Ovis aries: one gene and its partner. The protein of the gene in region 1 purifies or fractionates together with the protein of each later gene. This does not show direct contact. Links are inferred from orthologs where the notes say so. Each region holds a gene or a part of one and is shown on either strand. Other genes may lie near its edges.

The links.
Region 2: the proteins of RAB3GAP1 (region 1) and VAPB purify together in Homo sapiens (affinity purification with mass spectrometry; 4 studies listed by BioGRID and IntAct, counting the BioPlex papers as one, with this or other methods). This does not show direct contact. The link is inferred for Ovis aries from reciprocal best matches to the Homo sapiens genes RAB3GAP1 and VAPB.

What each region holds. Positions count from the first base shown.
Region 1 is NC_056055.1:175,592,143-175,595,962, forward strand, and holds part of RAB3GAP1 (rab3 GTPase-activating protein catalytic subunit), read right to left. Parts: intron 3,669-3,820; coding exon 3,572-3,668; intron 3,475-3,571; coding exon 3,371-3,474; intron 3,260-3,370; coding exon 3,144-3,259; intron 1,683-3,143; coding exon 1,580-1,682; intron 1-1,579. UniProt on the Homo sapiens protein: Catalytic subunit of the Rab3 GTPase-activating (Rab3GAP) complex composed of RAB3GAP1 and RAB3GAP2, which has GTPase-activating protein (GAP) activity towards various Rab3 subfamily members (RAB3A, RAB3B, RAB3C and RAB3D), RAB5A and RAB43, and guanine nucleotide exchange factor (GEF) activity towards RAB18.
Region 2 is NC_056066.1:57,626,526-57,630,345, reverse strand, and holds part of VAPB (vesicle-associated membrane protein-associated protein B/C), read left to right. Parts: intron 1-1,008; coding exon 1,009-1,161; intron 1,162-3,820. UniProt on the Homo sapiens protein: Endoplasmic reticulum (ER)-anchored protein that mediates the formation of contact sites between the ER and endosomes via interaction with FFAT motif-containing proteins such as STARD3 or WDR44.

The DNA of each region.
Region 1 (3,820 bases):
TAATCACATTAGGTGGAAAATAAGAACAAATAATATAATCCTATATTGTAAAATTTACATATATTTGAATCTACCAGATGTTAAATGTTGACAGTGATCATCAGTGGGTAGTGAGATTAGTGTGATTAATTTTTTTAGGGTCATTAATTTTTCTTTTTAATTCTCTGTATTATCCAAATTTTTACAACAGTAAGAACTTGCTTACAATCTTGGGGGAAAAGATTATCTCCACATTGGGGAAGGTAATTTTGCTTAACTATTTACAACAATGAGAGTGTTCTACTCTTAGCATTAAAAATCTCTTTAGATTTTTACATCTTCTTAACAAACAAGTTTTAAACATTAAGAAAAGAATCTCTGCAGTATGAGGAAAATTCATATTAGTGTTAACAAGGAAATACGTTTGTAAGGTTCTGGCTAGTAAACTGGCAAAGATATTACAGGATGTGAAACAAACCTGATTCTTGTTTCATACCAGAGTCAGAAACATAATAAGTTGAATTAAGTATCTACTGTTTTCTAGAAATTTATAAGGAAATAAAATACTTGGTTTTTAACTTGAAATCCTTAAATTTAGTTTGCCATCCCATAAATAATCTCAGGTTTCAGTTCTTGCTAAAAATTCAGATGAACATATCTGGTTATGATTTTGAATATAGTAACCAGATACACTCCAAACTGACTCAAAGGAGGTTATGAAGTTTCTTTTTCATGGATAAACCCATGAAAGTCCTTTTCCTTATTTGACTGTGAAAATTAAACTTCCAAAACTGGGCCATTCTAAGCGTCATCACAGTACTGCATAAGGGGCACCCTGTGTTTACTATGCTTCAAAATACTTTTATCAGAATCTTTAAGAAGTCCTAATGTGAGACTCATGTGCAAAAAGCCAGCACCTCTGAATCAGTAAACAACCAGTAAACATTTATACAGAAAGAGTCAACATAGAGTATAATATCAACCTTGTAAAAAATTCAAATCTTAATAGTTTAGAATGTCAGAAGGTACTATATAATTTTTAAACATTTCCTTTCATCAATAAAGGTAATGACAGAAAAGTTTTCAAATTGGGCTTTTTTTTTTCTATGCTGAAGCCTGTTTCCACTGTCCTAAAAATCTTTCCGAGGAAAACTTTGAAGTTAGATCTTTTCACCGTTATAAAAATAGTTACAATTTGCAATTTCACAAGCTAAGTTGTGAATCCACTTGCAGTACATGGAGTTTAAAACTGGTAAAATTAAACTCTATTCTAATTTGACAGTGGTAAACATTTTTTCCACACCACTGCACTGGTCATTGCTAACCAAGTCTCTTATCAGATTCTTTAACAAGGAATTTCAGACCATTCTAACTTCTGAAATTTAGGTACAAATTTCAGAAATAAACTTATCATTTTATTTAAATGTGTAAAAGAGCAGATGGATTTCAAAGACAAAGAAGTCACTGTTGAGAGAGTCATTATTTCTTCAATGTTTGAATCCAGTGCTTTTAGCAGCTTCATCTGTGGGAATCAAAACAGTACCTTACTGAGCAGAGGCCTGGAGAGAGCATGACACGGTCAAGAAGGAATCTCACATACCCTCTGAGCATTCACAAACAGCTTGTGAATGATCCTGCCAGCGTGTCCTCTGCCTGCACCGATGACTAACACCTCGGGTTGTTCCAGAAGGCAACTCACAAACCTGGGAGAAAGAGGGAATGAACGGATGGAAAAGGAGCTGCTCAGTTCACACTGGGTCAGTCCTCCCTGATTAATTTTGGGGACAAACCCTCAAAATCATATTGGTGAAAATCATATCAAGGCTGGAGTGAAAATTTAACAGGATAGATCAACATTTGGAATTAAAATCAACTCAAATGACAACCTTCATGCCTTTCAACTCTTTTAATAAATTTTTTCAAAAAGCCCATCTCTGTCAAAGTGTAAGATGAAATAGTCTATTTCTTTTAGACTACAAGCTTAGACAATGTTATACTAAGGAAGATTTTTTTAAATGTTTTAACAACAAAAACCACATTTAATTTAGACAGCAAAGCAATGATCCTTGTGTTTCATTTTTGTTCTTTTAAGAGGTGTGTGTGTGTGCATGCGCAGGCACACATGCACTTAAAATATGTTTTGCTGGGCACAGTCTCAGCTGTAAACTGTGCCATTATGTGCTGGAAGCATTCATCGTTCAAGTGTACCACAGACAACGTATGGTGGAACTAAGAGAGTCGAGGACACAGAGCCACCAAGCTCACACCACCTGCTCGCTAACTCGAACTGCTATTTTAGAAACTTCCTTTGATTAGAGTGTATTCTCCTCATTTAAAAGGAAGGAATATTCAAGAGCAAAGAAGGCTGGGAGAAAACTTCACTCAACAAAAGACATAATATTCAAACAAGAACTTGTTAAAGGCTGTAGCAAATGCCTTGTCATATAATACTAATTATTTAACATCAATAACACTATTTCTCTTGGAAAGGCTGATGAAAATTTTAGTTATAACAAATTCAACCCGTTGAAGTAGCTAATCTGGAAACACTTTCTCATCTATTAAAACAACATCATCCTTTCAAGTATCTCGGGCAAAAATGGACAGGGGTGTGTGCTGACAGCCCCCCTTTGAAATGGTCCAAATCTCAGAAGGAGGAAAAGACTGACCCAGTCATTTGCCTCATCCTGGAAAGGCCATCTGCTCACTCTTTCAAAACATATTCACAAGGGACAGAGATATGCACATTTGCTATCACAACTCTTGTTTAGAACTGTTAAGTAGGAATGTTGAGCAGAAATAGTTTCAGGACACGTCTGCCTATAGTTAAGAACAGTGAGAGTGGGAAGCAAAGTTTCCAGTAACAAGAGTGAATATGAACAGCCAGTTCCTCCAGAGGCAACTGCTCCAAGAGCAAACAAGGACATTCCTAGAAGACTTGGAAGACTTCATTCTTAAAGTGGGAGGAACAGAAACAAGTGACAAGTACTCACAAATACAAGAGAGGTCAATCCTATAATAAACAAATATTTCTCTGTCTCTAACTAACGCTTGTTACAAATAATATGGGAGCACTACAAAGGAATCTCAACACTCTATGAAAATTTTCTAAAGAGTGGCTTTTCCTACGGGAGACAAAGATGAGTTAGTCAGATAGCTATTACCTTTCAAGATCTTCCTTTTCCTCTTCTTGTTCACATTTCTCAGTTCCAAACTTGGCTTTCAGTGAGCGGGCTCTGGCAATTATAGCTTCTACATTAGTAATTTGATGGATGATTTCCTAATAGTGCAAAAGGGGAGAAGCATACATTGGAAAAAGGCAAAAGAAAGCAAAGCATTTTTTAAAAAATTACTGCCAACTGGGAAGAACATTTGACAAGATCAGACTTACTTCCAATTTCTTGTCTTCTGGATTGGGGAAGTGCAAAACTTTACTGGAATGGGATATTATCTGCTTTATAATCTTCTTCACTGAAGAAATGTTTTCTAGACTTTCTGTTTTTAAAAAGATCAAAGCCATCATTAGAAAAGTTAGGCAAAGTCTACCTTCATTTTGGAAATGAACTAATGACTAATCAAATAAGACATTTACCTTCTTCCTTTACCTTGAGTACAGCTGCATGGATTACACAGGGTAACAGGTGCCGAGCAAGGTCTGCCGGCTTCTGGACTGCCAGATAGTGCAGTACCTGAAGGAGACACAAAGTTAGATAAATGACCAAGACAGCTGCCAAAGAAAGCAGCCACTTACAGAAGATCTCTCTCCCCTGAATTCACACCTGTAACAAGAGTAGAGAAGAGCTCTCTTCTCTCAGTACCTATCCTACTCCTTCAGGTAAGT
Region 2 (3,820 bases), on another chromosome or scaffold:
AAGAGACATTATAGTTCAACCCTCCCACCTGACTCCTTTGTAAACCTTACGGGTCAGGTTTCAGGGAAGTTTCAGAGTACTGTGAGTAGTATGATTTCATTTTTGTTACCCCCCCTCCCCCTGACACACACACACACACACTCACACACTCCTGTATGTATGTACAGTTTGTGTAAGCATAGATGATGCGGATGGATCTCCCACAGTGTTAATATTAGTTACCTCAAGGGACAGGGGAAAGCTTATTAACTTCCTCTTTATACATCTTTTATTGTTTGGCTTGTTTTAAGAAGCATGTTTTACTTTTTTAATTAAAAAAATCTAATAAAGTAGAAAATGAATAAATAATAATAAAAAATACCCTTAGGGCACTGAGCTTTGTTTCAATCTTCCAATACCCTGGGTAGTTAAAAGTGAACGCGCTATTTTAGGTGTGGGCTGCCCTGCAGGACTCTGACCTTGCTGTAGCATCACTGTATTGTTTGTTGGGGGGTTATGTTTACAGACCACTAACACCTCGAAGTCTTTCTTGAATCTGCTGCCTTTGATCATCATTTTGGACCCAAGTCTAGTCCTTTACCTTCTCTGTGTTAGATTTCATTTGGTTACTGTGGGAATCAGTGTTCAGCATAGGTTAAGAGCTGGCCTTGGACTCAGGCTGCTTGGTTGCAGACCCTCGCTACCACTAACTACCATGAAAATTTTAGGCAAGTGGTATGTTCTCCCAAGCCTCAGTGTTCTTGTCTGGCAGTAAAGTTGTGAGGTATCAGGGAGACCCTGTCTGCTGGAATGCTCACTAGCCCAGGTGCCTGGTGGTATGACGAGACCGTGGTGGATTTTAGCTGTCACTGTTAGTGTGTTGGCCTCAGCCCATCTCTCCTGTGTGTCATGATGAAATGATCATGAGTCAACCACGTTCCACATCCGTCCTGACCCCATACCATAAATCAGTCTTTCCTCCGCATGGTCCTCATGGGATCCCCAACCAGTCCCTGTCTCATTCTGCAGGTCCTTTCACCGATGTTGTCACCACCAACCTGAAGCTTGGCAACCCGACAGATCGAAATGTGTGTTTTAAAGTGAAGACCACAGCACCACGTAGGTACTGCGTGAGGCCCAACAGTGGGATCATTGATGCAGGGGCCTCGATTAACGTATCTGGTAAGTTCTTGAGAATGAAGGCCTAAAGGGTGGGCTGAAAAGGCTCCCTAGACTCAGTGGGATCTCTTCAAGCTTGTGTTTACAGTATAGCAAAGGAAGATGGTAGGCATCTCCCCCCAGCTCCCTACCCTCTGATTAAAAAGCTCGGTGGGTCCCACTCACCTATTGTTTTTCCATAATTAATGCCTCTTTAGTTTAATGCTTACAGCCTTTGTGCCTCAATAGTTAGAGCAAAATTAAAGTGGTAACATCAGACTTTACTTGAGAATGAGTTGGGTTTTCACTCCCTTGAAATTAAATCTGCCCTTTGGCAATAAATTAAAAAAAGGCTAAACAAACTTAATTTTACTTTGTGGGAGAAAGCTAAATGGAGTTATTTTCTTATTTAAGCTAAATGATTTCTGACATTAAGCTCATGTCATTTCCAATGATTGGTAACTGCACTTTACTGATTGTGAAAAGCTAAGGGAGATGAAGGCTGAGGAAATTGGAATGTATTCAAGGGTGCAAGTTTTGTGCATGTCTGATGGGTTTTTCCCCCCTTCTGTCTGAGAGTGCATTTATTTTCCAGAGTCCAACTTTTGAAAAGATGCTGGTAGAGTGCCCAAACTGAGAATTGGATTTCAGAATTAAGGAGATGTAAGCGATGGGTTTGAGTTTAAATGTATTTTAGAAATGAAATAAACTTTGAGCTCATTAGGACTTCTGGATTCAGCAGTGCCTTTTGTATTTGTGGAGGAGGTGTGGGGGAGTGTGTGTTAATCCTTCAAGTATCAGGAGACTGTCACCAGGGCCTCTGAGGCATCATTAGAAGCTACTCCTCATTTGAAATGGGTATCTGGCTGACTTTTTTCCTGACGAATTTTGATTGTGATACATTTGGCTATTCATTTGACACCTGAAAGAAAATGACTCACCTCTTTGGAAAGATACAAGGTGTTTCATTATCTCATGATTTCTGCAGACTCTTGTTCCCTGCATCCTCTGGGTTCTCTCATTAGGGTGCACCCACACTGGCTGTCCCCCTGTGTATTTCTCTCTGAGGCTGCAAGACCTGATTCGGACTCTCGAATCAGGTTATTATCCAGGAGGAATCAGGAGGGTGGGAGCCAACATTTGTTGAGGATCTCTGTGCTGGGTCTGCACCCATATTATCTCATGTAATTTCTGTTATCTGCCCAGCGTGGAATGTATTGTTGTTACCCTGTTGTACCAGAATGACTCCGGTGGCCATAGGCTCACGAAGCTGGCCGGTGACAAAACCAAGATGTAGATCCTGCTTGTCTGGCTCTGGTCCCCAAACCTTCTGCACTGTAGCTCACTGGTCAGGGAGGGGGACCCAGGATATTGGCATTTCAGCATTCCTTGGATTCATGTGGTTTGCGTTTTTCTGTTGAAATCAAGGGCAGTTGATGTTTTTTATTCCCTTTTTAAAGTTGACTTCTTTTTTACCTCTTGATTTCGTTGCCCATGACATATTTAAGCACGGTTGTCAGTAGATGAGACTTACCCACTTTTCACAGTAAATTTGGGGCAGCAGCATCGTTTTCTGAATATAAAATAGTCTCAACAGGCAGATGTACAGTGTAGGTGTGCCTTCTGATATTAAATATGAATGGATGAGCAGAAGTGTATGTCTTTCAGAAAGACTCACTCCTCCCCCATCAGAGGAGTGGTTTTTAAAGTAATAACTAACCCTGGGCATTTGTTTTGATTTATGATTGTCTGCTAAGGAAGACCAAGATTTTGTGGTTGTGGCCTTCCTTTTGCAGATAAGAAGGAAAGGTTCAGGGGGTGGGGGGGGTTGGGTAATCAGAGGCACGTGATGATGATGGCAGAGCTGGTAGTGGAAGCCAGGTGTCTGTCCTGATCCAGTGGCTCTTTGGTGACACCAACTGCCTCAGCAAGGAGGTCACACCAGTCAATCTTAAAGGAAATTGACCCTGAATATTCGCTAGAAGGACTGATGCTGCAACTCCAATACTTTGGCCACCTGATGTGAAGAGCTGACTCATTGGAAAAGACCCTGATGCTGGGAAAGATTGAGGGCAGGAGGAGAAGGGGACGACAGAGGACGAGATGGTCGGATGGCATCAGTGGACATGAATTTGAGCAAATTCCAGGAGATGGTGAAGGACAGGGAAGCCTGGCGTGCTGCAGTTCATGGGGTTGCAGAGTCAGGTATGACTTAGTGACTGAACAACAACAACTGCCTCAGCAGTGTCAGGGGATGGCCCCGCTTACAAATAAATATAGAACAAAATACCTTGGCTCTCAGAGTATCATGTACTTGGGGGGAAAAGCAGTTGAATAACAAAATGTCCTGTGTTTGCAGGCCTTCCTTCTAATGAGACAAGATGATGCTTACACGTGAGAAAGGGCTCCTTTGTTTTTATTTGGTGTGCATTGGCCTCAGTGCTTGAGGTGCACCTGGGTGAAGCCTGATTTCGTTGCCTTTCCGGGACAGCTTCACCTGTCAGCAAAGGAGGCCAGCCTCTGCTTGCTGGGGTTTTCTGTGCTGAGGTGCCACTGTATTGTTTATTAGACAGCTTTGTATTGGGGCAGAAAGCATTGTACTTTTTCAAGGGTTCTCTTACAATACAGCCAGGTGATGCCATCTAGGTGAAAACGTGGAGTTCGGGGTTCCTTCAGCTGAGAG